Callithrix jacchus: one gene and its partners. The protein of the gene in region 4 interacts with the protein of the main gene of each other region in a biochemical or structural test. Links are inferred from orthologs where the notes say so. Each region holds a gene or a part of one and is shown on either strand. Other genes may lie near its edges.

Region 1 (6,848 bases), on a different chromosome or scaffold from region 4:
GACCTACAGAACTGAGCTAATACATTTGTGTTTAATTAGCTGGGCATGGTGATGCACACTTGTGATCCCAGCTACTTGGGAGGCTGAGGCAGGAGGATGGGTTTAACTCCAGGAGGCAGAGGTTGCAGTGAGCTGAGACTGCACCACTGCACTCCAGCCTGGGCAACAGAGCAAAACTCTGTCTCATTAAAAAAAATTAACCAGGCGTGATGATGTACACTTGTAGTTGCAGCTACTGGGGAGGTTGAGGTGGGAGGATGACTTGAGCCGAGGAGTTTGAGGCTGCAGTGAGCCATGATTGCACTACTACTACACTCTAACCTGGGCAACAGAGCAAGACTCTATCTCACAAAAAAAAGGAAATAGATTCTATCAATTTATATACAATTCTGAGACCCAAAACAATGCCGTACATTGTTATTCATCTTACTACATGTATTCTTACAAAATAGCAGCATAAAATCACAGAAAGATACACACAATTTCATAAGAGTCATTTCCCTTTGGGGAGAATGAAAAGGAAAAAAATAGAAATAAAATGAAGTATTTAGGGGTGGATCCTCTGGCCAGGTGCAGTGGCTCATGCCTATAATCCCAGCACTTTTGGAAACCGAAGTGGGCAGATCACTTGAGGTCAGGAATTCGAAGCCAGCCTGGCCAACATGGTGAAACCCCATCTCTGCTAAAAATATAAAAAATCAGGGAGTCACAGTGGCTCAGGTCTGTTGTCCTGGCGCACAAGGAGGCGAGTCTATGTGTTCAAGGCCAACCTGAGCAACACAAAAACCTCTCATCAGTATAACCAAAAAATAAAAATAAAATTTAAGGCCAGGCGCAGTGGCTATGCCTGTGATCCCAGCATTGTGGGAGGCCGAGGTGAGCTGATTACAAGGTCAGGAGTTTGAGACCAGCCTGGGCAACAGTGAAACCCCATCTCTATTGCAGATAAATTAGACAGGCATGGTGGTGTAAGCCTGTAGTCCCAGCCACTTGGAAGGCTGACACAGGAGAAGCACTTGAACCTGGGAGGGAGAGGTTGCAGTGAGCCAAGATGGCACCACTGCACTCCAGCCTGGGCAACAGAGCAAGACTCCATTTCAAAAGAAAAAAAAAAAAAAGCCAGGTGTAGTGGTGCGTTCCCATAATCCCAGCTGTTCGGGAAGTGAATTGCCTGACCCTGGGAGGCAGAAGTTGCAGTGAGCCGGGAGTATACCACTGCACTCCACCCTGAGTGTCACTGAGACTTTGTCCTCTCCTCAGAAAAAAGGTTGAAGGGGAACCTCAATTTTATCTGTAATGTTTTCTTTAGTACATCATATTTGTTAAGTTTGGGTAGTATTTACTTTACCACTACTAACATTTCTATTTTTTTCTTTCCTTGAGATGGAGTTTCACTCTTGTTGCCCAGGCTGGAGTGCAGTGGCTCGATCTCAGCTCACCGCAACCTCCGCCTCCTGGGTTCAAGTGATTCTCCTGCCTCAGCCTCCCGAGTAGCTGGGATTATAGGCACGTGCCACCACGCCTGGCTAATTTTGTATTATTATTATTATTATTATTTTTTTTTTTTTTTTGAGACGGAGTTTCGCTCTTGTTACCCAGGCTGGAGTGCAAAGGCGCAATCTCGGCTCATCGCTACCTCCGCCTCCTGGGTTCAGGCAATTCTCCTGCCTCAGCCTCCCGAGTAGCTGGGATTACAGGGGCGCACCACCACGCCCAGCTAATTTTTTTTGTATTTTTAGTAGAGACGGGGTTTCACCATGTTGACCAGGATGGTCTCGATCTCTTGACCTCGTGATCCACCCGCCTCGGCCTCCCAAAGTGCTGGGATTACAGGCTTGAGCCACCGTGCCTGGCCCTATTTTTTTTTTTTTTTTTTTTTTTAGTAGAGACAGGGTTTCTCCATGTTGGTCAGATTGGTCTCGAACTTCTGACCTCAGGTGATCGGCCCGCCTTGGCCTCCCCAAGTACTGGGATTACAGGTGTGAGCCACCATGCCTGGCCTACCTTTCTATTTTTAAACACTACCAAGGCTACTACAGATTTGTGATGCTATATGGGCCAGATCTTCAAAATAACTGGTAATAATTTGCATTAAGTTTTCCTTAATGCATTTTTTTTTTGACAGGCGAAGACACTGAAATGTGTTCATCCCTAATGCATTTTCAATTCTACATTTCAAGCGAATTGAACTTTTCTCACTTTTGCACTCTACTCAGAAAAAAACAGAATTTTTATTTTAAAATACATTTAATAAAAATAACCCATAGTTTTACATATTTTACATGTGTAGAATATTTACAAAATCACTTCTACAGCATTTACTTAATGTTTACTATTTTTCTATTATTTGCCTTTTTGACTATTTCTTTCAGTAGTAAAATGTTGTCTAGTGTTCTCTTTAAAAAATCAGTTTCTTGGGCAATCCTCCTAGAAAGCAAAAGAAAAAAAAAAGTTGTTCACATTTAACAAAGTTCACATTCTCACAGCAATTTTAACCAGTCACTGCTTCCACCTACATTATTTTATTTCGCTGACACATTTTTCCAATAGCACTTGTTAAGCATTTAGCATACAGTTGACAGATGGGATTTATGAAGGGAACAAGGTACACATAGAGAGTTCTCATAATTCTGAGGTATATGTAAAAGTGCCTGAAGTATTCTCAATGAAAGTAAACATACCTAAAACAGCACAGTCTCTCTACTTTCTACAATTTAAATTTGTAGAAATTAAATAGCTAGCAAGCTACACTTCTTTGCTGTTGTTCAGTTGCTAGACATACATGAGCTATTTGGAGTTTTCTGAATTCATTTAATTTCTTATAAAAGTGGGAATCTTACCTTGTTCCAAGGCATCTGTTCTTTTCCTTTTTGTCGCCAAAGCTGGATTTGATTGCTCCTTTAAGGTTTCCACTGGACAGTTTGGTCTTGGCAACTGACATCCAGGTGTTGGCCCTGGCCGATTACTGAAATACTTCATTTTCAGTGCCTTTTAAAAGAAAAGATATCAAAAGTAAGGTAGGTGAGTACCTCAAATGTGTGAAGGAAAATCTCACCCTCAAGATTATAGGGAGCATTAAAAATACTATGTAAACGCCCTCATTCCCAAAAACAAAACACAATGTCAAGTATTTGCAAATGTAAATTACTAAAAATAAACATCTAGGATCCTAAGATTGGTTGATAATTCCATTACTATAAGAAAAAGACTGTTCAGGCATGGTGGCTCACGCCTGTAATCCCAGTACTTTGGGAGGCCGAGGTGGGCAGATCACATGAGGTCAGGAGTTTGAGATCAGCCTGGCCAACATGGTGAAACCTCGTCTCCACTAAAAATACAAAAATTAGCTGGGTGTGGTGGTACACATCTGTAGTCCCCCCGCAACTTGGGAGGCTGAGGCAGGAAAATCATTTGAACCCGGGAGGTGAAGGTTGCAGTGAGCTGAGATTACACCCTTGCACTCCAGCCTGGGTGACAGAGCAAAGCTCTACTTCAGAATAAAAGAAAAGAAAAAGAGACTCCCTTCTAATTTTTCCTTAATTAAATAGCCTACTCAGGCTGAATATCTCTTACCTGAAATTCTTGGGCCCAGAACTGCTTCAGATTTTGGACTGTGGAATATTTGCATATACATGAGAGATCTTGGGGATGGGACCCAAGATTAAAAATGAAATTTATGTTTCACATACAGCTTATACATATAAACTGAAGGCAATTTTATACAATATTTTTAATTTGACAAACTTTCTGTTAATGTCCTTATGTGTGGAATTTTCCACTGGTGGCATCACATCAGCATTCAAAAAGTTTTGGATTTTGGAGCATTTCAGATTTTGGATATTTGAATTAGGGTTGCTCAACCTAAACTAATTATGAGCTACCCTAAGTGAAATATTATATATTTCCATTTTCTACATATTGAGCTCTACAGTTCAAAATGCAAAGAGAGAAACTTAAAAAAATCTTACAAGTTTGCCACACTATCCATATATGTTCAAATTCCAAGTCATGTAAAATATAAATTCTTAAAAAATAAGGCTTTTAAAAAAATACAGGTTAGAACCAATGGATTCTAATTCAACAATCCACTGCAAATGGACAGAAATTTTACTTGGAAGGGCTTGTCCAAGATTATTTCTATTAATTACCAGGCCAATGTTCTATGATATATTTTCTTTTTTTCCCCTACTATAGTGCTGTAGATATGACAGTTTCTTGAGTTGGGTCCACAATTCTGATAAAAAATAGTTATGTTCTAAATGACAAGTTTGTCAGGTCATGCTTGTCTTTTTAATTTTGTTTTTTTTTTTGATAGAGTCTCACTCTGTCACCCAGGCTGGAGTTCAGTGGTGCAATCTCAGCTCACTGCAACCTCTGCCTCCTGGGTTCACATGCTTGTCTATTTACATGCAGCATAGTGCTGTCCAGTGGTCACAGTGATTTAAAATACTTCTGGCCAGGCACGGTGGCTCATGCCTGTAATCCCAGCACTTCGAGAGGCCAAGGCGGATGGATCACCTGAGATCAAGAGTTCAGACCAACCTGGCCAACATGGTGAAACCCTGTCTCTACTAAAAATACAGAATTAGTTGGGTGTGGTGGTATGCGCTTGTAATCCCAGCTACAGGGAAGTTGAGGTAGGAGAATCACTTGAACCTGGGAGCTGATGGTTTCAGAGAGTCAAGATCACACCACTGCACTCCAGCCTGGGTGACAGCGCAAGACTTGGTCAAATAAATAAATAAATAAATAAAATGAATTACTTCCTTTAGGATAATCCTTTAAGAAAGAAGAATGAAGCCCATATAAACTTTTCAAGCATTCCCCACTGTCACCAATATTATATTATTTTCAGTAATTTAGAGATTTCTACTTCAACGGTTGCATTTTTTATTTTTATTTATTTATTTATTGCAGAGCTGATGTCATGTTGCCCAGGGCTCCAACTCCTGGGCTCAAGCTATCCTTGCTCCTTGGCCTCCCAAAGTGCTGGGATTACAAGTGTGAGCCACTGCACCTGGCCCACAGTTGGATTTTTAAAGCATTACTTCTAAATCACAGTGGTCTTATATGCAAATTAGGCTAATTCTGGGCGACACGATAAAGATCTAAGAAAGTAACTCATTCCAACTTTAATAAAGACATCCATGATACAAAAACTCACTTTAAAAACTTCATCCTATTAAAATACAACCCAAATATAACAACTAGTATTTTTCTATAAGTTTCAAACTATACTCCCAATGAAAACAACTTACTAGATAATTAAATGTGGTCTCAGGTTTATTATGATGGAAATTATATACATAGAAGTATGAGCGAAAAGGCAACAAATTACTTGTCTTAAATTAGAAGAGCATGTGTACATATGGACATAAAAATAACAAAAATTTTTTTTAAAATTAGAAGAGTAATTCTAATGGTAAATACGCAGCATCCATCCATCCATCCATCCATCCATCCATCCATCCATCCATCCATCTATCCATTTCTATATACACATAGCATGTATTGCTAAAAAGAGAAGGCTTATACAAGCAAATGCATTAAACAATGATTTTGTAGCTGGAACAAACCTAAGGGGGGGGAATCTATTTTGTATCCTTAATATTACTGTACATTAATATGTTTCCATAAAGGCTTCTGATACTTCACTTTAGTCTCTCCCTTCATCAGGTAAAAATCACTGCACTGTGTTGTACAGTGCTCTGCTATAAGTTATTCTAGGCCCTCCAAATTTTTCATGAGTTTCATTGTTTTCTCCTTTAAATAGCAGTTGGTTTCAGTTTTTGAGTATCTTTCAAGCTCTTGTAAGCATACAATCATATCTGATTATACCATTTTCTGAATGTGAAAATGACCAGTATGCATACCCAGATTACATTATATAGGGAAGAAAAAATAAGCTGAATAAATTACTTTCAGCATTAGGCTTGCTACAAGATTGAAATGAATTTTTAAGAGTGCAACTGAAAAAATAAACAGTTTTCAGTTTCTTAACAAATAAAAAGCCTTGGTTTTCCTTTCCTCTCCAGGTAAAGTATTTACAAACCAATTATATGAAATAGATATGTATTTATATGTTCCTAAGCAAGTGTATTAAGTGTAAGCTCTCCTATATCTCTGTGTGCATATAACTTAATCTCAGTCTTAACAGTGTTTGCTGTTTGGGGAAAAAATACAAAGTTTGTTATTTCCTAAAACAAACAAAAACACATCTTTTCCAGTATTTAAAAAAGGTTAATTTTATGAAATTCTATTTTTATCAATGCTACAGTTAAGATTATTTTTATATTTCCTAGTATAAAAAAAGATACGGTAAAATACCTGTGTGGCCGTAATTCGAGCACATGGATTAAATAAGAATAAGCCTTGTATGAGATCTAATAAGTCGTCTCCTGCTGCACTGAAGATATGATGCAATGGAATTCCAGGAAAACTCTTAAATGTCACATAATCTGGAAGACTACACATGTCCTGTAAAAATAATTTTATAATTCAAACTGAAGGTTGAAATCCATGTAGATCTCAAATGAAATAAATCGTATTTTCAGGTGATATGATGGTTTATATAGAAAATTCCAAGAAATCTATTGAAAAGTCCTAGAACTACTAGTAAGGCAAGGCTGGAAGGATACAAAATGAAAATTAAACCAATTTTAATTCATTATACTAGCAATGAATGTGTGGACATCAAAATTAAAAACACAGTACTATTTAAAATTACCCCAAAAAGAAAAATAATACAGGTGAAAAATGTAACAAAACATGTATATAGGGTAATATACTAGAAGCTATACAATGCTAATGAAACAAATCCAAAGATCTCAATAAATGGTGAAACATAC
Region 2 (7,486 bases), on a different chromosome or scaffold from region 4:
AAGAAATGTGAGGCATGAGGAGAGGGCCAAAAATGGAAGACAGTGGAGAGAGGGAGTAACTCAGGGTGTCTTCCATCCATCCCCACATGAGTCAGCCCTGAGGTATTACAGAGAAGAAAATCTGGGCTGGGGCCAGATGTGGTGGCTCATGTCTATAATCCCACCAGCACTTTGGGATGCCAGGGAAGGCGGATCATTTGAGGTCAGAAATTCAAGACCAGCCTGGTCAACATGGCGAAACCCCATCTCTACTAAAACTACAAAAATTAGCCAGGCATGGTAGTGCACACCTGTAATCCCAGCTACAAGGGAGGCTGAGGCAGGAGAATCACTTGAACCCAGAGGGCAGAGGTTGCAGTGAGCCAAGACTGCACCACTGCACTCCAGCCAGGGTGACAGAGAGACTCCACCTCAAAAAAAAAAACCTCTGGGCTGGGCCTAGTGGCTCATGCCTGCAATTCTAACACTTTGGGAGCCTGAGGTAGGAGGATCGCTTGAGCCCAGCAGTTCGCAACCAGCCTGGGCAATATAGTGAGATCCCATCTCTACAAAAAGTACAAAATTAGCTGGGCATGCAGGCTTAAAGCTATAGTTTTAGTTACTCAGGAGGCAGAGGTGGGAGGACTGATAGGGCTCAGAAGCTCCCAGGATCAAGCAGTGCTCACACCTCAGCTTCCCAAGTAGCTGGGACTATAGATGTGTACTATCAGCACAGCTAATTTTTTTTGTTGGGGGGGTACAGAGTCTCACTATGTTGCCCAGGCTGGTCTTGAACTGCTGGCCTCATGCAATCCTCCTGCTTTGGCCTTCCAAAGTGCTGGGATTAAAGGCCTGAGTCACCAGGCCCAGCCCATATTTCTTTTTCTGTTATACCTCAAGGCTTCAATCCCAGCACTTTGATGTCTTGGGCTCAAGGGAGCCTCCAGCTTTTGCTTCTCAAAGTGTTGGAATTAGAGGCATGAGCTGAAGTGCCTGGCCCAGCCTCAGCTTTCCTTATCTGCACAGCACTGCCATCCGTCCAGGCACTTGTTCTTTATCTAAGCCTTCACATCAGATCCACCAGGTGGTGGCTCAGGCCTGTAATGCCAGAACTTTGGGAGGCTGAGGTGGGCAGATCACTTGAGGTCAGGAGTTCGAGAACAGCCTGGCCAACATGGAGAAATCCTGTCTCTACTAAAAACAGAAAACTCAGCCGGGTATGGTGGTGCGTGCCTGTAATCCCAGCTACTCAGAAGGCTGAGGCAGGAGAATCACTTGACCTTGCGGGGTGGAGGCTGTGGTGAGTTGAGATTGTGCCATTGTATTACAGCCTCGGCGACAGAGACACTTCATCTCAAAAAATATATAATAAGATTAAAAAAAAAAAAATCCACCCAGTAGTCCAACCTGACTGTCCTGTTCTCGCTGCTTGGCCCAGGTCACCATCATCTATCCCCTGGTAACTCTAAAAGCCTCCAGACAAGGTCCACTGATCTCTACCCTTGTCTCTCTCTACATCTGTTCCTAACTTTGCAGCCAAAATGCTAATGTCAAACTGTAAAGCATATTGTCATTTCTTTGCTCAAACCCTTATAATGGCTCTCCACTTGCCACAGAGTAAAACCTGAAATCTTTATAATGGCCAGGTGTGGTGGCTCAGCTCATGCCTGTAATCTCTGCACTTTGGGAGGCTGAGCTGGTAAAACTGCTTGGGCTTAGGAATTCCTGACCAGCGTGGTCAACATAATAAACCCCATCTGAGGCTGGGCACAGTGGCTCATGCCTGTAATCCTAGCACTTTGGGAGGCTAGGAGTTCAAGACCAGCCTGGCCAACATGGTAAAACCTATCGCTACTAAAAATACAAAAATTAGATGGGTATGGTGGCGGACGCCTATAATTGCAGCTACTAGGGAGGTTGAGGCAGGAGAATCACTTGAACCCGAGAGGCAGAGGTTGCAGTGAGCAAAGATCATGTCACTGTACTCCAGCCTGGGTGACAGAGCAAGACTCCTTCTCAAAAAAAAAAAAAAGAAAAAAGAAAAAGAAGATAAAATCCTTTTAATGTCCTACAAAGCCCTTCAAAATTTGCCTTCTCCCATTACATCTCTGACTGCCTTTCCTTCCTGCTTCCACTTTGATCCAGACACATATTCCTTCAGGCTGCCCCTTCAACTTGCCAGGCATACTCTTGTCTAATAGCCTTTACTCCATTCCCTCTGCCTGGAATGTTCTTCCAGAATGCCTGATTGCCTGTCTGCCCTGACCACCCTATTTAACTCTGCACTCTGCCCTCAGAGTGGGAGCAGCCCACTTTTTCTTTTCTTTTTTTGAATGAATGCCACTTTTTCTTTTCTATAGCATTTAACATCTGGGTTGGGTGCAATGGCTCACGCCTGTAATCCCAGCACTTTGAAAGGCCAAGGCGGGTAGATCACAAGGTCAAGAGATTGACACCATCCTGGCCAACATGGTGAAACCCTGTCTCTACTAAAAATATGAAAATTAGCTGGGCGTGGTGGCATGTGCCTATAGTCCCAGCTACTTGGGAGGCTGAGGCAGGAGAATCACTTGAACCCAGGAGGCAGAGGTTGCAGTGAGCCACTGTACTCCAGCCTGGCAACAAAGTGAGACTCCATCTCAAAAAAACAAAAAAACCTTCTAATTCGTTGTATCGTTTCTTATTGTTTATTACCCCCACCACACACCATATAGACAGGGCTCTTTATTTGCTTTTTATTTTTTTGAGATGGAATTCACTCCTGTTGCCTAGGCTGGAGTGCAGTGGTGCGATCTTGGCTCACTGCAACCTCTGCCTTCCGGGTTCAAGCGATTCTCCTGCCTCAGCCTCCCAAGTGGCTGGTATTACAGGCATGTGCCAGCACAGCAGGCTAATTTTCCTATTTTCTTTTTTTTTTGAGACAGAGTCTTGCTCTGTCGCCAGGCGCCAGGTTGGAGTGCAGTGGCGCAATCTCGGCTCACTGCAACCTCTGCCTCGTGGGTTCAAGTGATTCTCCTGCCTCAGCCTCCCGAGTAGCTGGGATTACAGGCATGAGCCACCGTGCTCGGCCTAATTTTTGTATTTTTAGTATAGATGGGGTTTCGCCATGTTCCTCAGGCTGGTCTCGAACTCCTGACCTCTGGTGATCCGCCTGCCTCGGCCTCCCAAAGTGCTGGGATTACAGGCGTGAGCCATCATGCCCAGCTGACAGGGCACTTTATTATGTTCACTAATGTATTCCAGGATCCCAGCCTGGGACATCATAAATATTTGTTAAGTAGATGAATTAGTTGTAAGGTTTAGAGATGTTGGTACTCGGTAACTACTAGTTATTGCTGTTATTAAGAAAATATGTCACAGGTCCAAACTTCGAGCCTACACTGCAGTTAAAAGCAAAGTAGACCAGGTGCAGTGGCTCACGCCTGCAATTTGGGAGGCCGAGGTGGGAAGATCACCAGAGGTCAGGAGTTCAAGACCACCCTGGTCAACGTGGCAAGATCCCATTTTTTTGTAAAATCACAAAAATTAGCAGAACATGGGGGTGGCCACCTGTAGTCCCAGCTACTTGGGAGGCTGAGGTGGGAGAACCATTTGAACCCAGGAGGTAGAGGTTACAGTGAACCGAGATCATGTCACTGCACTCCAGCCTGGGCGCCTGAGGGAGACTCCAGTCTTAAAAAAACAACAAAATGGAGCCAAGCAAGGTAGCTCACTCCAGTAATCCCAGCACTTTGGGAGACAGAGGAAGGTGGATCACTTGAGGATGGGAGTTTGAAACAGCTTGCTTAACATAGTGAGACCCCCATCTCTGCAAAAAATTGAAAAATTAGCCTGGCATGGTGGACCTGTCATCCCAGCTACTTAAGAGGCTGAGGTGGGAGGATCACTTGAGCCTAGGAGTTCCATAGCAGCGTGGGCAACAGACAGAAACCCTGTCTCAAGGAAAAAAAAAAAAAAGTCAAGTGGCACACTGGAGCTGGACATTAGGAAGATTAACATCAATACTGTTCAGGAATAGTACAGGTGGTAGGGTGGGGCTGTGCTGGAAGGATGGGAAGAGGGAGGCCGAAGAAGAAACTGGTTCTTTTCAAACCATCCCTGGTCTCCTCCCCAACTTTTTAAAGTCTTATCTATAGGGAACACAATTATTCGAGACATACTCTGTGCCTGGCGCCGCGTTTATAAGAGGCGGTCGTGTCCCACTTCCCTGGCGAACTCTTACGAATCCTTCAATACCCGGCGGTACCCTCTGTCAGTAAAGGCTCATAAAACACGCTACAGTCACAGGATCTCCTCAGATCAGTGGAGGCGGCAGGAAGGCGTCCCAGGGGAGGATTAACTTGAGCGGGATCCCAGCAGAGAAGCAGGTCGAAAATCCCCGGGGAGCGCGAAAGGAGGCTCAGAGAGCCCACCTCATCTCCTGCAACATCTCTCCAATGCAGACACACACACGGGGTCCCCACGAGCACGGACACACAACCAACCGTCTTGTTTCTAGTCCCCACAAGGGACCTTCAAAGGGTCTCCTCCAGAGTACCACTCAGACCCGCCCCCGCCAGCCGAACGCTGGGAGCAGGAAAACTCTGGCCGCCGCCAAGACGCCGCTCACCCGGCGCTGGGCGCCATCTTGGCCCCGCCCCCTCCTAGGAGCAGGTCCTGGCAGAGCGGAAGTCCAAATCGCTACCGCTTCCCCGTGCCAGAATACGTTCTCTGGACTCACGGAATGAAATTATATTTTAAAATTTTGTTTAAACATCTACATATAAGAAGAATTCCGTCTTGGTTGAATTACTGCAAATTATTCCTTCACTACCCGGCTGCCAGGACCTTGAAGAGGCGCCACAAAACGGAGGCGGAGAAACTCAGAGCAATGAGGCCCCGCCCCCTACCGAGCTGATTCTGCTCGTGCGCCGACCTTGCCAGGCTGGATTTAAGGTTGCCGCCAGCCGCCTGGGCATTTAAAGGACCCACTGCCTTCCCGAAGTTGGTTTGAAAGCAAGCGATGGTTGTTTGTGGATGGCGCTTTGTCATGGGACCTATGTGGTTGGGAATATTGCTTTTCCTTTTGGCCGTGCACGGGGCTTGGGCTGGGAAGCCGAAGGAAGAGGACGATGACACAGAACGTTTGCCCAGCAAATGCGAAGGTATCTGAAGGGGGTAGCCCCTGTTGGCATCGCCCGGCCACACCTCCTTCTTCTAGGCCGGACCTCTTGGACTGTATTGGGTGGGTCACCTGAACTCCTTGAAAGCTTGAGGGAGGTTCTGGTGGAGCTTGGCTGAATTTGAATGGATGGGGTCAAGGAAGCAAACGTGTAGTGCCGCCCCAAAGCTATGGCACTGCACTTCCCAGGAGGCATTCAAAGAGAGCCTGCATTTTTTTGGTTGACTTGGACCCCCCCGCCCCCCCCCAATGGATTGTGGGAATTGTAGTTCAGGGACCATTGGCCCTGGACTGCCAACTTTAGAGCATCTTCAGTGCGTGTTTCCCGTCACCAGACCTTAATCTGCAGAGGCTGCAGGAGCTCTGTGAGGCTCAGGCCTTGTGGACATCTGCTGCCCCACCCTAGCATAGACGCTCCCAAATTACAGGCCCCACGACCCCTGACGGGGTTTGAGGGTGAGTAATTCTGCCCTTCAAGCTCAAAAACAACAGGAGGCCACACGACTAGGGGAGGTTCCCCATCCGGGTGAGACTTTGCAGACGGTGTGTACTATGTGGATTTTTCAGCAAGCAGCACTTTCCGTAGCTGCACTAGTGTGGGGCCCAGTTGAGAAAGGGGGCACTTCAGAGCTGGCCCTGATCCCCTAGTTTGCTGCCCTCCTGACTTCACGTTTCTTCCCTGGATTCTTGAGGGAAGAAACGTAAAGTCAGGAAAGGTGGTCATGATACTCTCATGACGTAGTCCTCATCTCTGTCTCTTTTCACCTCCGTGTCCCACTCTTCTCCCCTGACCTGTCAGCCTTTTTAAACACAGACTTAATCACCTAATTGTATCAGTCCTTGCTTTAAAACCTCTGCAGGCCTTTGATCAGAATACAGCCAAAGGGGCTGCACACAGTAGCTCACATCTGTAATCCCAGCACTTTGGAAGGCCAAAGTAGGAGGAATACTTGAGCCCATGAGTTCAGGACCAGCTTCACCATATCTTGTCATCCTAGGTTTTTCTGTCCCAACTACACTGACGGAGACCCGTAGATAGATATAATAGGTCTTAATGCTGTCTGTATTGTTAGTGTGAATGCAGAAGGAGCTCAATAACTGCAGGATAACAGTGAATACATATACAGTGCTCACTATGTGCCAGCCTTTATATATGTTGGTTTCTTTAATCCTCATCACACTCCTATGAGGGACAGACTATTATCCCATTTTATTTATATATACGTATATGTGTGTGTCTGTGTGTGTAATTTTTTTTTTTTAGATAGAGTCTCACTCTGTCACCCAGGCTGGAATGCAGTGGTGCCATCTTGGCTCACTACAACCTCAGCCTCCTGAGTAACTGAGATTGCAGGCATCTGCCACCATGCCAACTAATTTCTTTTGTATTTTTAGTAGAGAGGGAGTTTTACCATCTTGGCCAGGCTGGTCTTGAACCCCTGACTTTGTGATCCAGCCACCTTGGCCTCCCAAAGTGCTGGGATGACAGGTGTAAGCTGCTGTGCCCAGCATTTTATTCTTGAGACAAGAGCCTTACGCTGTTACCCAGGCTGGAATGCTGTGGCAAAAATCTCAGCTCATTGCAACCTCCTGTGTCTCCTGCCTCAGCCTCCCAAGTAGCTGGGATTACAGGCGCCTGCCATCACACTTGGCTAATTTGTATATTTTTAGTAGAGATGGGGTTTCACCATGTTGCCCAGGTAGGTCTCGAACTTCTGACCTTGTGATCCGACCACCTTAGCCTCCCAGAGTGCTGGGATGACAGGTGTGAGCCACTGCGCCCGGCCTGTATATGTTGATTTAATACTCATCACACCCCTATGAGGGACAGATGATTCTTATCCCATTTTATTTATTTTTAACATATTTTACTTTTTTTGAGACAGAGTCTCCCTCTATTGTCCAGGCTGGAGTGCAGTGGCAGGATCTCAGCTCATTGCAACCTCCGCCTGCTGGGTTCAAGTGATTCTCCTGCCTCAGTCTCCGGAGTAGCTGGGATTACAGGTGTGTACTACCACACCTGGCTAGTTTTTATATTTTTAATAGAGATGGGGTTTCACCATGTTGGCCAGGCTGGTCTTGAACTCCTCAAGTGATCCACCCACTTCAGCCTCCCAAAGCGCTGGGATTACAGGCATGAGCCACCATGCCTGGCCTATTATCCCATTTTAGAGATGAAGAAATAGAGGCACAGCAAGTAGCAAGATTGTCACACAGCTGCTAAATGGCTGAGCCAGGATTCCAACCCAGCCAGTTTGGCTCAAGTATGCACTTGAATGTTCTGCTGCCTCAGGTCATCTGCCGAATGAATGGCTGATGTGTTTGTCTGTCTTTCACCTCCCCCGG
Region 3 (7,770 bases), on a different chromosome or scaffold from region 4:
GCTCACTGCAACCTCTGCCTCCTGGGTTCAAACAATCCTCCCGAGTTGCTGAGATTACAGGTGCCCACAATTATGGCCAGCGAATTTTTGTATTTTTAGTAGAGATGGGGTTTCACCATGTTGGCCAGGCTGGTCTCTAACTCCCGACCTCAGGTGATCCACCTGCCTCAGCCTCCCAAAGTGCTAGGATTGCAGGCATGAGCCACCACGCACGGCTCAAGTTACACTTTAATATCACACACATGCTGAAAATGAAGTAGACTAACACAATTTGATGTACTGTTTCATATAATATATTCCTATAATTCAGAAATGAAAATCCAAGTACACTGAAGATACAGGCATGGAAATCACACTGAATGCTAACCCCAGTGCAAATGTAGCAAGTTCAAACTATCTGACAGGTGTGTATACCAAACCCCATTGCCTATTAGTACTACTTTAGAACACAGATAAATGTTGTCAAGTAAAGGGGTAACATGAATAGATTTTAGAACAAAAGGTATTCACTAGCCAAGTTCAGTGGCTCATGCCTGTAATCCCAGCACTTTGGGAGGCCGAGGCAGGCAGATCATGAGGTCAAGAGATCAAGACCATCCTGGCCAACATGGTGAAACCCCGTCTCTACTAAAAATACAAAAATTAGCTGGATGTGGTGGCATGTGCCTGTAGTCCCAGCTACTCAGGAGGCTGAGGCAGGAGAACTGCTTGAACGCAGGAGGTGGAGGTTGCAGTGAGCTGAGATTGTGCCACTGCACTCCAGCCTGGCACCTGGCGACAGAGTGAGACTCTGTCTCAAAAAAAAAAAAGACCAGCCTAGCTGAGCAACATGGCAAAACCCCGTCTCTACAAAACATAGCAAAAAAAAATTAGCCAGGTGTGGTGGTGTGCACCTGTAAGCCCAGGTAGTCAGGAGGCTGAGGTGGAAGGATCGCTTGAGCCCAGAGGCAGAGGTTGCAGTGAGCTGTGATGGCACCACTGCATTCCAGCCTGGAAAACAGAGTAAGATCCTGTCTTAAAAAGGAAAAAAAAAAGTATTTGCTAGTAATTCTCATCCTCCAGAGATAAGGTTGTTTGGGCACAAGATCTACCACACCCTCTTCACACCCTAAAAAGATGCATTTGCATGTTTCTTCACTTCTTTGATAGGTAAGATTAGAAAAAGAAGAAATACTGCATGCCAAATTGGTATGAGAAGCAATGAGGCTGCAAACAAAAAGTAATCAAAACATTATAATTACTTTGCTCGAGTTCTTTTTCTGAGTGAGTCAGCAAATCCTGACAATTTTACTCAAAGTTTCCCTAACTCCTAAGCTTCATTATCATGTACCTAGCATCCTGTGATTTTTTTTTTTTTTTTTTTGAGACAGAATCTCTCTGTCGCCCAAGCTACAGTGCAGTGGCACGATCTTGGTTCACTGCAACCTTCACCTCCACGGTTCAAGCGATTTTTCTGCCTCAGCCTCCCGAGTAGCTAGGACCACAGGCATGTGCCATTATGTCTGGCTAATTTTTGTATTTTTAGTAGAGACAAGGTTTCACCATATCGGCCAGGCTGGTCTCAAACTCCTGACCTCGTGATCTGCCCACCTCAGCCTCCCAAAGTGCTGGGATTATAGGCGTGAGCCACCAGGCCCAGCCCAATCCTGTGATAATTTTCTAATTGTGACTCTGGTTGCCCTCCTCTCTAATTCGTACTGCACACTGCCAAACATTTTTTTTCTGAATACCTGGCGTCGCTACCTCACTCAAGTCCTCCAAAAAGTTTGTTACTTCCTTGTAAACTAAAGTTAGAACATTTCCACTTCATGACATGACAGTCTGAGTATATGGGCCCAACCTTTATTTACACAGATCTTCTGCTCTAGGGTCTGTTTTCCACAACATGCCAAAACATGCCATGTTTTCCACGATTACGTATTTTGAGTCTTGCATTTCTGTTCCACTCCCCATGGTATACACCATGTCTACCCATCCAAATCATGTAAGGCAAACATTGAGCATTTACCATGCTCCTAGGACAACGGCACCATCTCCAGTCACACTATGTTTTCAAGCTTTTTCCTTCAGTCTGCAAGGATCATCTCTTCCTTAGTGACTCTCCTCCAATTAACATGCTGCTGGAGCGAGAAATGCCTATTTAATCCATTCTTTTTTTTTTTTGAGACGGAGCTTCGCTCTTGTTACCCAGGCTGGAGTGCAATGGTGCGATCTCGGCTCACCGCAACCTCCACCTCCTAGGTTCAGGCAATTCTCCTGCCTCAGCCTCCTGAGTAGCTGAGATTACAGGCACGCGCTACCATGCCCAGCTAATTTTTTGATTTTTTTTTTTAGTAGAGACGGGGTTTCACCATGTTGACCAGGATGGTCTCGATCTCTTGACCTCGTGATCCACCCGCCTCGGCCTCCCAAACTGCTGGGATTACAGGCTTGAGCCACCGTGCCCGGCCTATTTAATCCATTCTTTTAAGTCATACTGAGCTTTGAAATAAGTCAAATGAGTGCCACAGACTAAGGCAAGGGTTGAAGAGTGAGAGGTCAGGCATTTATTCATCACCTGTTTGTTGAATAATTACCATGTGCCAAACACTATTCTGGGTAAACAGGCAAAGATCCTGTTCTCACGGAATGCAATTTTGTGTTGGAAAGACGAAGGTAACCAACTTTTCACATATTAACACAAAATCACTCTACACCGTGAAAAGTGCTTTGAGGAATGTAACATGGATATGTCATGTTAGCAAATGATCATAAGGGAGCTCTTTTAGGAAGACCGACAAGGAAGACCGCTTAGATATAATTGACGAGAACTCAGCCATGTGATAAAATAAGCGAAAGCATTAAGAAACCAAAAGTCCCTACATTTTAAGTTTCAATGAGTTTCAGGATCACATGTCGAATATGCCTAAGTATTATGAGCCTCCCCTAGGAGACAACACTCCCCAACATGAAACAGTGAAGCACGAGTAGTGCCCACTGTGAGCTAACCAAAATCGCTGTCTTTACGTAAAACACTTACTGATGGTCAGTTTCACGAGACCCAATTGTGCTCTAAAAGAATATTCCAGGCCGGGCGCGGCGGCTCACGCCTATAATCCCAGCACTTTGGGAGGCCGAGGCGGGTGGATCACGAGGTCAAGAGATCGAGACCATCCTGGTCAACATGGTGAAACCCCGTCTCTACTAAAAATACAAAAAATTAGCTGGGCACGGTGGCGCGTGCCTGTAATTCCAGCTACTCAGGAGGCTGAGGCAGGAGAATTGTTTGAACCCAGGAGGCGGAGGTTGCGGTGAGCCGAGATCGCGCCATTGCACGCCAGCCTGGGTAACAAGAGTGAAACTCTGTCTCAAAAAAAAAAAAAAAAAAAAAAAAAAAAACAAAGAATATCCCAGTCCAATGACGTCTCCTGCGAGTTGAGAGCTGTCTCGCCTCTTTTCGGAGCTCCATTAAGGACCATCAACCTAACACAACACTTTAAGGGTACGCATGGACCGGTTCTACTTTCTCGCCGAGAAAAATGTACAGAAAACAGACATTCAACTACCCCACACAGGCTCATGGCTAAAAGCAGTTTCACCAAGAGAAGACACAAGGAATTCTTCGGTCCTAGATAAAATGCACCGTCCAAACCGGGGACATCAGGACGAGGCTCCAGGAAAGCCGTGAGAAGAAGAGACGAGTCCAGGTGGATTCAGACTCGTAACTGGCGCGCCTAAACGGATTTCCTCATCTGCAAACATACAGCAATGCCTCCTGCCTCTCAAAGTACGTGAAGCTCTAACGAGACAGCCGTAAAAGAACTTTAAGAGGCGCACGCAGCCGGATGGGTTCAAGTTACTTAAACTATACTCGTGTTGGGAGGAGCGCGCAGCGAACGTTACCTTGACAAGCCACACTCCCGTGTTCTGTTTGGCGCCGGTCAGATCGAGTTCCCCGCGCTCGGCCATGGGTCTGCCGCTGGTGGAGGCGCGCGGGCTGTAGCAGCGACCCCAGGAGCCGGAGGGCTGCGGAGCGAACGTCCGGAGCAAAGCGCTAAGCCGCGCTGAGAGGTGAAGAGCCGGCGTTTCTCACCGGCCCGGACACCGGAAACCCGCGGAAAGGGGAACACGCCGCCGGGAGCTGGGATTGCGCCTGCGTATTACTACGTCAGTACGGCGCCCTGTTGCGGACAAACTTCCTGTGTCGGCAATTTCTCGGGTGGGCGTGGCTGTCAGCGATGTCTATCAGAGGGATTGAAACTTGGTTGGGATGAGCCAAAACGTTAGCAATGTATTTAAAGACAAGGTCAGCATAACTGAAGAAAAAGATTATCAGAATGAAAAAATGGGGTTCAAAGAGACAAGAGCTGTCAGAACATGTCCAGTCCTAGCCAGAGAGAGGAGAGAGAGAGAGAGACAGTATTTGAAGGGCAGGATCTGGGTAGCAAATGGGCGTCCTTGGCCAACGTCATTAGCACAGGTGGGCACTGGGATCAGACTGGGTAGCCCTGGTACTGAACACATGCCGTTTCTAGACCTGAAAAGAAAGCGGTGTTTCAGCTCGGAGGCTGCCTGAGCTCTTCTGATTAAGCGAGCAGAGCACCTCAGACTCCAAAACCCGGAGGTCTGTGAAGAAATGAACAAGTAAGAGACAAACTTGGTCGTTTCCTCCCCTGCGTAAACGATGTTCTCTTTCTCTTCTTGCCTCTGGAATAAAATTCAACCCTTCTGCTTCAACTGGGCCCTCCACCACCACCCATCACTCCACCACCCACCCAACCACACCAAACCCAGCAGACTTTCCTGAACACGTCAGAATCTTCCTCGGTCATTTCAGAGCCTCTGCACACTGGATTCCCTTCCCTCAGATGCCCTGTTTTACCCCTACCCTCATTCCCACCCCTGTCCTCTGGTTGCCAAACTCCTACTTGTAGTTCAAGACCAACGGAAATGTCACTTCCTGTGACACCTTTTATCAACTCCCCCGGAAGAAATTAGTTTTTCTTCACATCACGCTGTGATACTTAGCACTCTGCACTGTAATATGTATGTTTACATGTCTGCCTTTGCTTTCCAGACTATGAACTGGTCCTAGGCAAAAAGAGCCTTATTGAGGTATAATTGACAAATAAAAAATAGTGCTTTATTCATTTTATCTCCACAATGTCTAGTACAGTGTTTGATACATCGTCAGATTTCAGTAGGCTTTGGTTGAAAGAACATTCGCTGAAGAGAAACAATAAGGTATTGTTAAGAATGGCAAGTAATTTTTTGAGTCATACATCAGAGCCATGAACAAAATTGAGGAAATTTTACGTATGTTCAGCATAGGGCCAGGAAAAGCTGTCAGAACTCTACAATTAGCTAGCAAAACTAATAGGAAAGATGGGAGAGACTGGGAGTGTGTTGAAAATGAAAGTTTCGGCCATGTGTGGTGGCTCATGCCTGTATTCCAAGCACTTTGGGAGGCCGAGGCGGGTGGATCACGAGGTCAGGAGTTCGAGACCAGCCTGGTCAACATAGCAAGACCCCCATCTCTAAAAACAAGAAAAAGAAAAAAAATTTAAGTAGAAAATGAAGATTTCTTCTTGTGCAACAACTTGGGAAAGGGCCTAAAACATATAAAGGGTAAGTGGGTGAAAGGAACTGCTCTAAGCTTTAATCAAGTAGAAGGAATAAATTGAAATATGAGGCTTTGCAGACCCCGCCACCGCCTGGAGCCTTGTAGTATCAGCCATGGTCAACCCCACCGTGTTCTTCCACATTGCCGTCTACGTGAGCCCTTGGGCCATGTCTCCTTCGAGCTGTTTGCAGACAAGTTTCCAAAGACAGCAGAAAACTTTCGTGCTCTGAGCCCTGGAGAGAAAGGATTTGGTTATAAGCGTTCCTGCTTTCACAGAATTATTCCAGGGTTTATGTGTCAGGGTGGTGACTTCACACGCCATAATGGCACTGGTGGCAAGTCCATCTACAGGGAGAAATTTGATAATGACAACTTCATCCTAAAGCACACAGGTCCCGGCATCTTATCCATGGCAAATGCTGGACCCAACACAAACGGTTCCCAGTTTTTCATCTGACTGTCAAGACTGAGTGATTGGATGGCAAGCATGTGGTCTCCGGCAAGGTGAAAGAGGCATGAATATTGTGGAGGCCATGGAGCGCTGTGGGTCCAGGAATGGCAAGACCAGCAAGAAGATCACCACTGCCGACTGTGGACAACTTTAGTCAGTTTGACTTGTATTTTACCTGAACCACCAGACCATTCCTTCTGTAGCTCAGGAGAGCACCCTCCACCCCATTTGCTCGCAGTGTCCTAGAATCTGTGCGCTGCAGTTCCCTTTGGGTTCCACGTTTTCCTTGTTCCCTTCCATGCCTAGCTGGATTGCAGAGTTAAGTTTATGATTATGAAATAAAGACCAAATAACAACAACAACAACAAAAAGAAATATGAGACCATGGGAGAAGAGCAGCAAGGTAGCCTAGAGCACCCCAGGAATGGACTTTAAAGATTGGAAACTTGGCCTTCGCCTCTGGGTCATGGGAGGCTTTAAAATGTATGGTGTGTGTGTGTGTGTGTGTGTGTGTGTGTGTGTGTGTATGCGCGCGTGCACAGATTGGGAGAGAAAAATGGCTGATGAAAAGGCTAGAGAAGAAAAGAGGCTGGGCGCGGTGGCTCAAGCCTGTAATCCCAGCACTTTGGGAAGCCGAGGCGGGTGGATCACGAAGTCAGGAGATCGAGACCATCCTGGCCAACATGGTGAAACCCCATCTGTACTAAAATACAGAAAACTACCTGGGAGTAGTGGTGTGTGCCTGTAGTCCCAGCTACTCAGGAGGCTGAGGCAGGGAATCGCTTGAACCTGGGAGGCAGAGGTTGCAGTGAGCCAAGATCCAAGCCACTGCACTCCAGTCTGCAACAGAGTGGGACTCCATCTCAAAAAAAAAAAAAAAGAGAGAAGGAAAAGTGGAGATTTAAAAAGGATTATATAGAAGAAAGAATAAAACAACTTATTGAGCAACCTCTTCCTCATACACTATTGAACAAAGAGCAAGCTTCTCCAGTCTGTCCTTTTCAAAGGCCTTCTAGCTTGAAGAGGGATGTTTATAGAACCGTGAGAGAAAAGGAGGGCGCAGCCTCTGTGAACCAGATTCACAGATTTACTGAGGAGACCCTTAGGGCGATAGATGTTACAGGCAGATCCCTCACCTTCCTAAGCACCTATTATATGCCAGATGCTCGGCTAGTTGTTTTCTGTATTATCCCATTTAATCCTTGTAACAGTGTGCCAGAGTAGATAATACTTTTCCTTAATATAGCTCTATATGTCATTAAACATATCAACATCCAGGATCTGAGACCATATCCCAGGATGGGGCTCACAGAGCATAAGACGCAGAGGACAGTGCCCCAAAAACGGTTACACCAAAATGTTGTACTCACTCAGATGATTAGTCAAGTAATTATCAAAATTTGTAAGGCGTAAATGCAGTTCTGGCCCAAGAACTCTGCTGGCTGCAATTTTTCCAAAAAGTCTAGTAGTGCTTCGGGCAACTTGAAACTCCACCTTTATCTAGGGCTTAGATTTAGGTCAGACCTCAAGGCCACCCAACCTTCTTTACTGTTTTTTGTTTTTTTTTTGACAGAGTCTTGCTCTGTCACTCAGGCTGGAGTATGCGATGGCGTGATTACAGCTCACTGCAGCCTCGACCTTTCGGGCTCCAGCTATCTTCCCACCTCAGTCTTCCAAGTGGCTGGGACTACAGGTGCACACCAACACACCCAGCTAT
Region 4 (7,702 bases):
TAAATATTGGATCCCCTGCAAAGCAGAAACTAAGTGTATCTCATTTCCATGCCATGGCCCAGAAAGCTGTCTTCTCAAAGCCCATATTGGCATGTGGTTTACAAAAAGAACCTGAGCTTTGAATTTCAGAGTAGACAGCCTGTGTTTCGGTAACTATGTAGTCCTGAGCAAATCCCTTAAACAATTTCAAGTCACACTTTACTCTCTGAGAAATAAGGATGTTATCAACTACCTCAGTGAAATTGTTGTCATTAATAAGAATGTAATTAAAGTGCTTAGGAAGGACAGCTTCCATATCAACTTAACATGTTCCAAACTAAAAATGGTGAGGCTATCCACACAGATTAAATCAAGTTAAATTTCGCTAGTCCACAGGGAATTTTTTTTTTTATTTCTTTTAATAGAGACAGGGTCTCGCTATGTTGCCCAAGCTAGAGTTCAGTGGTGTGACTCAGCTCAAAGCAGACTCAAGCTTCTGGGCTCAAGCAATCCTTCCATCTCAGCTTCCCCAGTAGGCTGGGGTGCATACCACCATGACTGACTAATTTTTGTATTTTTTGTAGAGAGAGGGTTTCACTGTTTTGCCCAGGCTGGTCTTGAACTTCTGGGCTCAAGGGATCCACCCATCTTGGGGGCTTCCTAAAGTGCTGGGATTACAGGTGTGAGCCACCACAGCCAGCCCACAGGATAATTATTTTTTTTTTTGAGATAGGGTCTCGCTCTCTTACCTAGGCTGGAGTGCAGTGGCGCAAGCTTGGCTCACTGCAACCTCTGCCTCATGGGTTCAAGTGATCCTCCTGCCACAGCCTCCCGAGTAGCTGGGACTACAGGCATGCAACACCACACCCACATAATTTTGGAATTTTTAGTAAAGACAGGGTTTCACCATCTTGGCCAGGCTCCACAGGATAATTTTTAACAGAGACATCCCATTCAACTATTTCAATGGGGAATCATATTCTGTTGTTAATACTAGTTTCAACTGACCTTTTTATTTGAAATCAGTGGTTATCAACCCTAACAGATTTAATATCCTTTTTATAAGAAATATTTTGATATCCACAGTACCACACTACAAGGAAACTCTACACACCAATCTATAATCAATCTATGCACATATTTTGGGAGGAAAATATAAGGCCCATCTTGCAACATAGGAAAATTAAAAGAAAATATGTACTTTTGGTTATGAATACTCAGGTACGACTATATTCAATAAGATACAGCAAAGTAGCACCTAGATACAAATCTGTGAACCTAGAGCACTTCCTGTTACCCCAGGGCTTAAGGATGCCTGGCAAGTGCCTGGGCTCAACACCAAAGTAGTACCACAGCATACTACTGGACACACTTTTTCTCCTTTTCAGTTTGATCTATACATTGTACTTGAACCCAGTTTTGTTTTTTATTGTTTTACATCTTCAACAGTTGTCAGAACACAACATATGGCTTCAGAAACATTCAACGAAGAATGGCAGAAAAATGTCAACATAACCTGTTTACAGGATTATTTCCTACTATTGTATTCTCCTTACCCGCCCATACATGCCATGCCGCAGATTAAATTCTCAAGCCTGGTTGTAAGGCACAATCATCTAGGGAACATTTTAAGAATACTGACACTGGGCCCTATTCCCAAAGATTTTGTCTCAGGTGACCTGGAGGGGCCAGATTAGGCATCACACAATTTCTTAAAGCTCTTTAGGTGACTCTGCTATGTGAAAGTGCCTACTATATATCCTGCCAATGCCCATCCTGCATGGAGAGGGCCCTGTACCAGTTAATGCTGAGCCTGTTTCCTTTGCCTAAAACACCCTAGGAAGCCATGAGGACTAAAGGGAGTGAGTCAAGGATTCTACAATCCAACAGTTTTGGAGTTTAAATCCCAGTTCCAGCATTTCTTAGCCCCCCCTGACCCCAGAAAATTCTCAGACTCAGTTTCTTCATATATAAAAAGTAAGCAGGTCAGGTGCAGTGGCTAATGCCTGTAACTGCACACCTTGGGAGGCCAAGGTGGGAGGACTGTTTGAGCCCAGAAGTTCAAGACCAGTCCAGGCAACAGAGTAAGACCCCATGTCTCCAAAAATTTAAAAACTTAGACGGGTATGATGCCATGTACCTGTAGTACCAGTTGAGGTAGATCAACTGAGCCAGGAGGTCAAGGCTGCATTGACCCATAATTTTGCCACTGCACTCCAGCCTAGGTGACAGGGCATGACCCTAAAAAAAAAAAAGAGTGATTAACGGTGCCCTGTTCATACAGTTAATGTGTGAACTCAGTGAGATAATTAATGCAAAGTGTTCTACCATCAGGGCTGGCATAAGAGTTCAATGAAGTATTGGTATTTGTAATAAATCCCCTATTTAGAAAAGTGACTCTTATAGCAGCATGAGGAATGGACTCAAGTGAGTGAAGGTGGAGGCACTGTGGAAGTATTGGGGGTATAGTAAGAAAACCTAAACTAAGGAAGAAGGCAAAAAATTGCAAGAAGAGAACAGAATGAATGAGTTATTACAGAAAAAAAGTCAAAAGGACCCAACAAAATATACTGCATACAGAGTATGAGAGTAGGAAAAATCTTAAATAGCTCTGTTTTGAGCCAGCATACCTAGGAAGGGAAAAGTACTGACATGAGTAATAGGTGACACCTGACGAGGAGCAGATTTGGAAGAAATAAGGAAATCACTTTTAGAAGTGTCTCTGAGGAAATACCATAGGATATTCCTCTGAATATTCCCAGCAGGTAGCAGAACAAATGAAAACTAGAGCTCAGGAATGAAATGAAGCTGTGCCGCCTTGTTCAAAATCTCCGCATTCTGAAATCCTCCTTCCTGACCACTGCTTTCTCTCCTCCACCACCTCCCACTCACGCTGAATCTCCTTACTCAATCTCTAGATGTCTTAGGTAAGAGTTCTCAAACTGGCAGCCCCCCACGCATTGTTTCACCCAAAGAACGTTTCAAAAATTTTCTGAATTAGTTGTCAACATTAAAATATTTTAAGAGCTCACATACATTTCAACTTCCAGCTCCTCTTGAAAAATTGAAAATATCTGAGGAAAAATAAAACCCATGTTCCGACATGAAAACAATAAGCTGAAGCCGAATAGCAGCTGGCATTATTAGGGAAGGAGTTTGGCTGGTCTCTGGAGACTTGTGAGTATGGGACCACCCAGGACCTTTGTTTCTTCCTTTGATCTTCACAGTCCATGAGTCATCTCCCAGCCTCACGTCCCTACCCCAGTCCAGACCCTCGTGTATTTTAATCATATAAACATTTAAGGACTACTGTGCATCAACCAGGCACGGAGCTACAGAAACAAAGTTGAAAAGAATGCACCCTCTGCCCTCTGTCTACCCTGTCAGCCTCATATCCAGCCACACTAGCATATTCTCAATTCCATAAGCCACATGTGCTTTCCCTACTTCCCAGGCCTTTGCACATGCTGTTCCTTCTGCCCCTACAGCTAAGCCCAAACTCCCTTCTCTTAATCATCCTTCAAGTCTCAAAAAACATTTCCTCATAGAGGCAGGTCTTCCCAGACTCCCCATAGTAGCATACAAGTATCCCCTTTCACATGTTCCATGGCTCTTTCCCCTTCTTGTACTTTCTCCGTCTCTATACCTAAGACCAGACTTTATCTTGTTCAGCAATTAATTTCCAGCCTCTAGCATAGCCAGACAAGCCCTTCCATAAAACTTTCCATATGTCTCCTAGGCACGTGTTGTTCCAACATGGCTCATTTTGCCAGCTTCCCCGCACTTCATTTCCTCCACACTCTTGCTTCCACAGCAGAATCAGACAGGCTATTTATTGGACACTCTCTTCTTAGATTTAAAATAGTTTTAAGCGGGAGGTGAGTGGATCAAATTCCCGATGTTAAAAGGCTGCGCTGACTGCATAGTGGAGAACAAAACGAGAAAAGAGTGGATGCGGAGAGTATAGTTAGGTTACTTCAGTATACCACTACTCCAGTTCTAGAACAACTTTGATTCTACACATCTAACTGCGGTTTTCTGTTACTATATTTCATGGCACTTTGCACGCCTTCACACACATAGCGGCAGACTACCGCGAAACCTTAGGATCCAACTGCCCTACATGAGACGCGTTCGGTGATGTGCACGCCTCCCCAGTGCGAGACTGCGAGACCCCAAGACCCCAAACTCCCTCAGACTCTCCCAGTTGGGTCCAGGGCCACACTCGAGGCAGCCAAGCCCGGCCTAACCGAGGTCGCACACGGGCCGCTCCGGGTCAACGGTTCTTTAGAGGACCAAGGCAAGAGGGTAACTCATTAGGGGAGGATAATTAAGAGGGTGCGAAAGGAAGGAGAAATCATAAAATGCAATGCCCGGCCAGGGAACTCCGAACAAGGAACAGGGAACAAGGTTTACCAAAGCGAATCCTCGAACACTCCCACTACAGCCGCCCTCAGAGCTTCAACTACCGGCTTAAATGAGCCACGCCCTTGTGCGACAAAGAAAACGCATCTTTTCTGCGACTAGCTTTGGAAAACACCCCGATACCTTTTACCACACCAGCCAATCAGCTCAGTGAAGCCTTCGATCAGGCGAGTCACGCTACTAGCGGCCAATGAAATTGAAGGCTCTGTCCTCCATGCCCAACTCTGATTGGCTTATAATCCCGGAACAGGCGTTAACCCAGAGAAGGCAGTGGCAAGATGGCCTCCCTGGATCGAGTGAAGGTACTGGTGTTGGGAGACTCAGGTGAGAGGCTAAACTCATGTCTGGGACTCCAGACACTTTTGACTTATCCAATAACCCTCCCCTTAACTTTCTTCCCTCAATTTCCTGGCTCTTCGGCACGGGTCTGAAGTCCCTCCCAAGGCCTGAAGACTACACTTCCCAGAGGACTTTGCTCCGTGTGACGACGAGGCAGCGGCGGCGCGCGGGAGGGGGTCGCGGAGCTTGGGCCTTCTGCCTTCGCGGCTTTCCACATCGGTTTCCCAGGCGACACCAACCTAGCGTGTATTTTCAATTTAAAAAAAAAAAAAAAAGGCAGGCATTGTGTATTGCATCCGGTTCTGTGTTAAGGCTACAGAAGTTAGTAGAACAAAAAGTTAGAGATTTTGTTCATTAAGGAAGTCAAACGTTCATTGAGAAACGTGCACTGGCAAGCGCTTGGCATACGCTAACTCATTTAATTCTGAGGTCAGTCCTATTACCCATTTTACAGGTGAGAGTAGTGAGGCAGAGAGATGTAAATGACAGAATCCTTTTGAACACAGAGTCTACATACTTAGACGCTAAACTATAATTATGCAATGAAATACTGGGTAATGGTCCTGTTTTATTGTTAACTGAGCTTTTTATTTCCTTGTTTGGTCTTCATTGAAAACCTATTACTAGAGAAAGTAAAGAGTTTTATTCTGAAGCAGCAAGGATTTAATGCTGAGCCCAGTTTAATCCTAGCGTTAAAATTCTTTTTTCTTTTTATTTTTTTCTTTTATTTATTTTTTTTAATGAGTCCAAAAGTAACCGTTTACTGGTTACTAAAGGACTCTCTTTTTTATTTTTTAATCTCAATGGATGCAACCTGAGGTCGGGAGTTCAAGACCAGCCTGACCAACATGGTAAAACCCCCTCTTAAAAACATAAATGAAAGAAAGAAGGAAGGAAGGAAGGAAGGGAGGAAGGGAGGGAGGGAGGGAGGGAGGGAGGGAGGGAATTCTTTTGACACCTGGGACATTTGAGAACTACAGCTGACGCTGACATCTGCATTTCCAGCTCCCACCTCACTGCCCTTATCTTTTCCTCCATAATTCAAATAATTCAACTCCTTAAGAACTTCAATAAAATGCTAACTTTGCATTTTATGGATGTGCGGTTCTAGAGTTGGCCTAAGAGCGTGTGTTGTGAGCAAAGACATTGTGCTAGATGCTTGGAGGTGGAGAGGCCTAAAAACTACTCTTACAGAAACTAAATAAAATTGTGGCAGGCAAAGATATATTAAGGATGTTTTCACATTGCCCTGAATATTATTTACATTATGAAATATTTTACAGAGAGAATTATTTAATATTCCCCTAAGAAAGTTGCCTTTGAAACTCTATGAACATAACCACAATTTATGTCAACTTCATTTCTTTGTCAGGTAGCTTGAAGTGGTGCCAAAGTTAATTTAATAAAATCACTCAGTTTTACAGATAAAAAAAGTAATGGTGGCCTAAAGGGACTTGGCAAGAGTATTACCAAGTAGAATTTAAGACTGGAATTGAGAACTAACAGACTTCTTCATGATGTGTGAAGTGGGTGTTTTCTGTCCTCTATAATTCCATTTTCTGTTGTATCTAACAATCCCTTCATATTACAAACTGCTGCAACTAGTCAATTTATTTTCTTTCCAACATGCACTGTTTTAGGTTCTGGGGTTATAACTCTGGAATTAATGCATTATATAACAGGGGTAGGATTAGCTGCTACATTAAATGTGGAAAAGTAACCAGGCAATTAGTAAGCTTTCCCACTACCGCCCTTCCCCTTATGGTTTAGTTGTAAAGCAGAAGACACAGCTATGACAGCCAGGAAAGTGATTGATGTTGTCACACATTTGCTAATGTTAAGCTTTATGTGCAAGTTTAGTTACTGTCTTTTAATCTTTTTAAAAGGTAATTTTGTCAGTCTCCTTTTAACTGCAATTTAAAAGTACACGATCTGACAGCTTAGAATATGCTTTTTACACTTCCTTGGCCTTTGGTTCAAACCCGAAAGCTTATTTTTTAATAAAGGCCATTTTCCTCATAAAATTTTGAGTTTCACAAATATATAAAGAAATGACTTAGCCAGGCAAGGTGGGTTTTGCCTGTAATCCCAGCACTTTGGGAGGTTCAGGTGGGTGGATTGCTTGAGCTCAGGAGTTCAAGACCAGCCTGGGCAACATAGCTAGACCCTGTCTCTACCAAAAACAATACAGAAAGTTAGTCGGGCATGGTGGTGTATGCCTGTAGTCCCAGCTATTTGGGAGGCTGAGGTGAGAGGATCGCTTGAGCCCAGGGATTTGAGGCTGCAGTGACCTAGGATGGTGCCACTTCACTCTAGCCTGGGTGATAGAGTGAGACCCTGTCTCAAAGAAAAAAATGTGTTTGGAGATTTGTTTTGTATCCTATAGAGATACTTGGTAATTTGGTAAGGAACCCTAAAAGTCTCACTACCATATGGTTTTCTCTTCCTTTCAGAGATTAGGGACTAGTTTAACATATTATCAAACATCTATATTTGGAGGTGACATTTATTTATATTGGCCTTTTCCCCCGAAGCAAATCAAGTGCATTCTTTTGATCAAATTTAGTTCTAAAGATGAAAACATAAAATCAGAATCTCCCCAAATTTTTAAAGAAATGAAGTTAGTCATTATTCCTTAGCACTTCAGCTGTTCTTACTGTTTAGGGTTTCATCTTTAAAAAAGATGAAAAGCCAACTCCATGATATTGTTGAGGTGCAACATGACCTTCAGGCTCAAGTGTGTGACTGGTGCCAGTGTAACCCCCATGAAAGTTATTTGTCAATACATATCATGAACTTTAAATGTTTCCTTTGAAGTACTGAGTTTACTTCTGGGAAGGTATACTAAGGACATAATTTTAATTTTAAAGGTTTAAACAGAAATAACTTTTCAGTAGCATATCAAAAATTACAAAACACCTTATATACTTAATAATGGAAGAATGGTTAAGTAAATTTT

Evidence for each region.
Region 1: of the proteins of GTF2E1 (region 4) and CDK7, one has a biochemical effect on the other in vitro, tested with the Homo sapiens proteins (3 studies listed by BioGRID, with this or other methods). The link is inferred for Callithrix jacchus from reciprocal best matches to the Homo sapiens genes GTF2E1 and CDK7.
Region 2: the proteins of GTF2E1 (region 4) and TAF6 form a complex in vitro, tested with the Homo sapiens proteins (2 studies listed by BioGRID). The link is inferred for Callithrix jacchus from reciprocal best matches to the Homo sapiens genes GTF2E1 and TAF6.
Region 3: the proteins of GTF2E1 (region 4) and GTF2F2 form a complex in vitro, tested with the Homo sapiens proteins (2 studies listed by BioGRID). The link is inferred for Callithrix jacchus from reciprocal best matches to the Homo sapiens genes GTF2E1 and GTF2F2.

The regions. Positions count from the first base shown.
Region 1 is NC_133503.1:140,267,033-140,273,880, forward strand, and holds the end of CDK7 (cyclin-dependent kinase 7), read right to left. Parts: intron 6,478-6,848; coding exon 6,328-6,477; intron 2,989-6,327; coding exon 2,841-2,988; intron 2,428-2,840; coding exon 2,399-2,427; 3' UTR 2,229-2,398; downstream 1-2,228. UniProt on the Homo sapiens protein: Serine/threonine kinase involved in cell cycle control and in RNA polymerase II-mediated RNA transcription. Cyclin-dependent kinases (CDKs) are activated by the binding to a cyclin and mediate the progression through the cell cycle.
Region 2 is NC_133503.1:13,463,884-13,471,369, reverse strand, and holds the start of TAF6 (transcription initiation factor TFIID subunit 6), read right to left. Parts: upstream 4,625-7,486; 5' UTR 4,140-4,624; intron 1-4,139. Other genes in the region: CNPY4 (protein canopy homolog 4), read left to right, coding at 5,091-5,123, 7,027-7,144. UniProt on the Homo sapiens protein: The TFIID basal transcription factor complex plays a major role in the initiation of RNA polymerase II (Pol II)-dependent transcription.
Region 3 is NC_133506.1:164,325,113-164,332,882, reverse strand, and holds the start of GTF2F2 (general transcription factor IIF subunit 2), read right to left. Parts: upstream 4,094-7,770; 5' UTR 3,949-4,093; coding exon 3,883-3,948; intron 1-3,882. UniProt on the Homo sapiens protein: TFIIF is a general transcription initiation factor that binds to RNA polymerase II and helps to recruit it to the initiation complex in collaboration with TFIIB.
Region 4 is NC_133516.1:82,238,944-82,246,645, forward strand, and holds the start of GTF2E1 (general transcription factor IIE subunit 1), read right to left. Parts: upstream 4,447-7,702; 5' UTR 4,396-4,446; intron 2,221-4,395; 5' UTR 2,120-2,220; intron 1-2,119. Other genes in the region: RABL3 (rab-like protein 3), read left to right, coding at 4,683-4,728.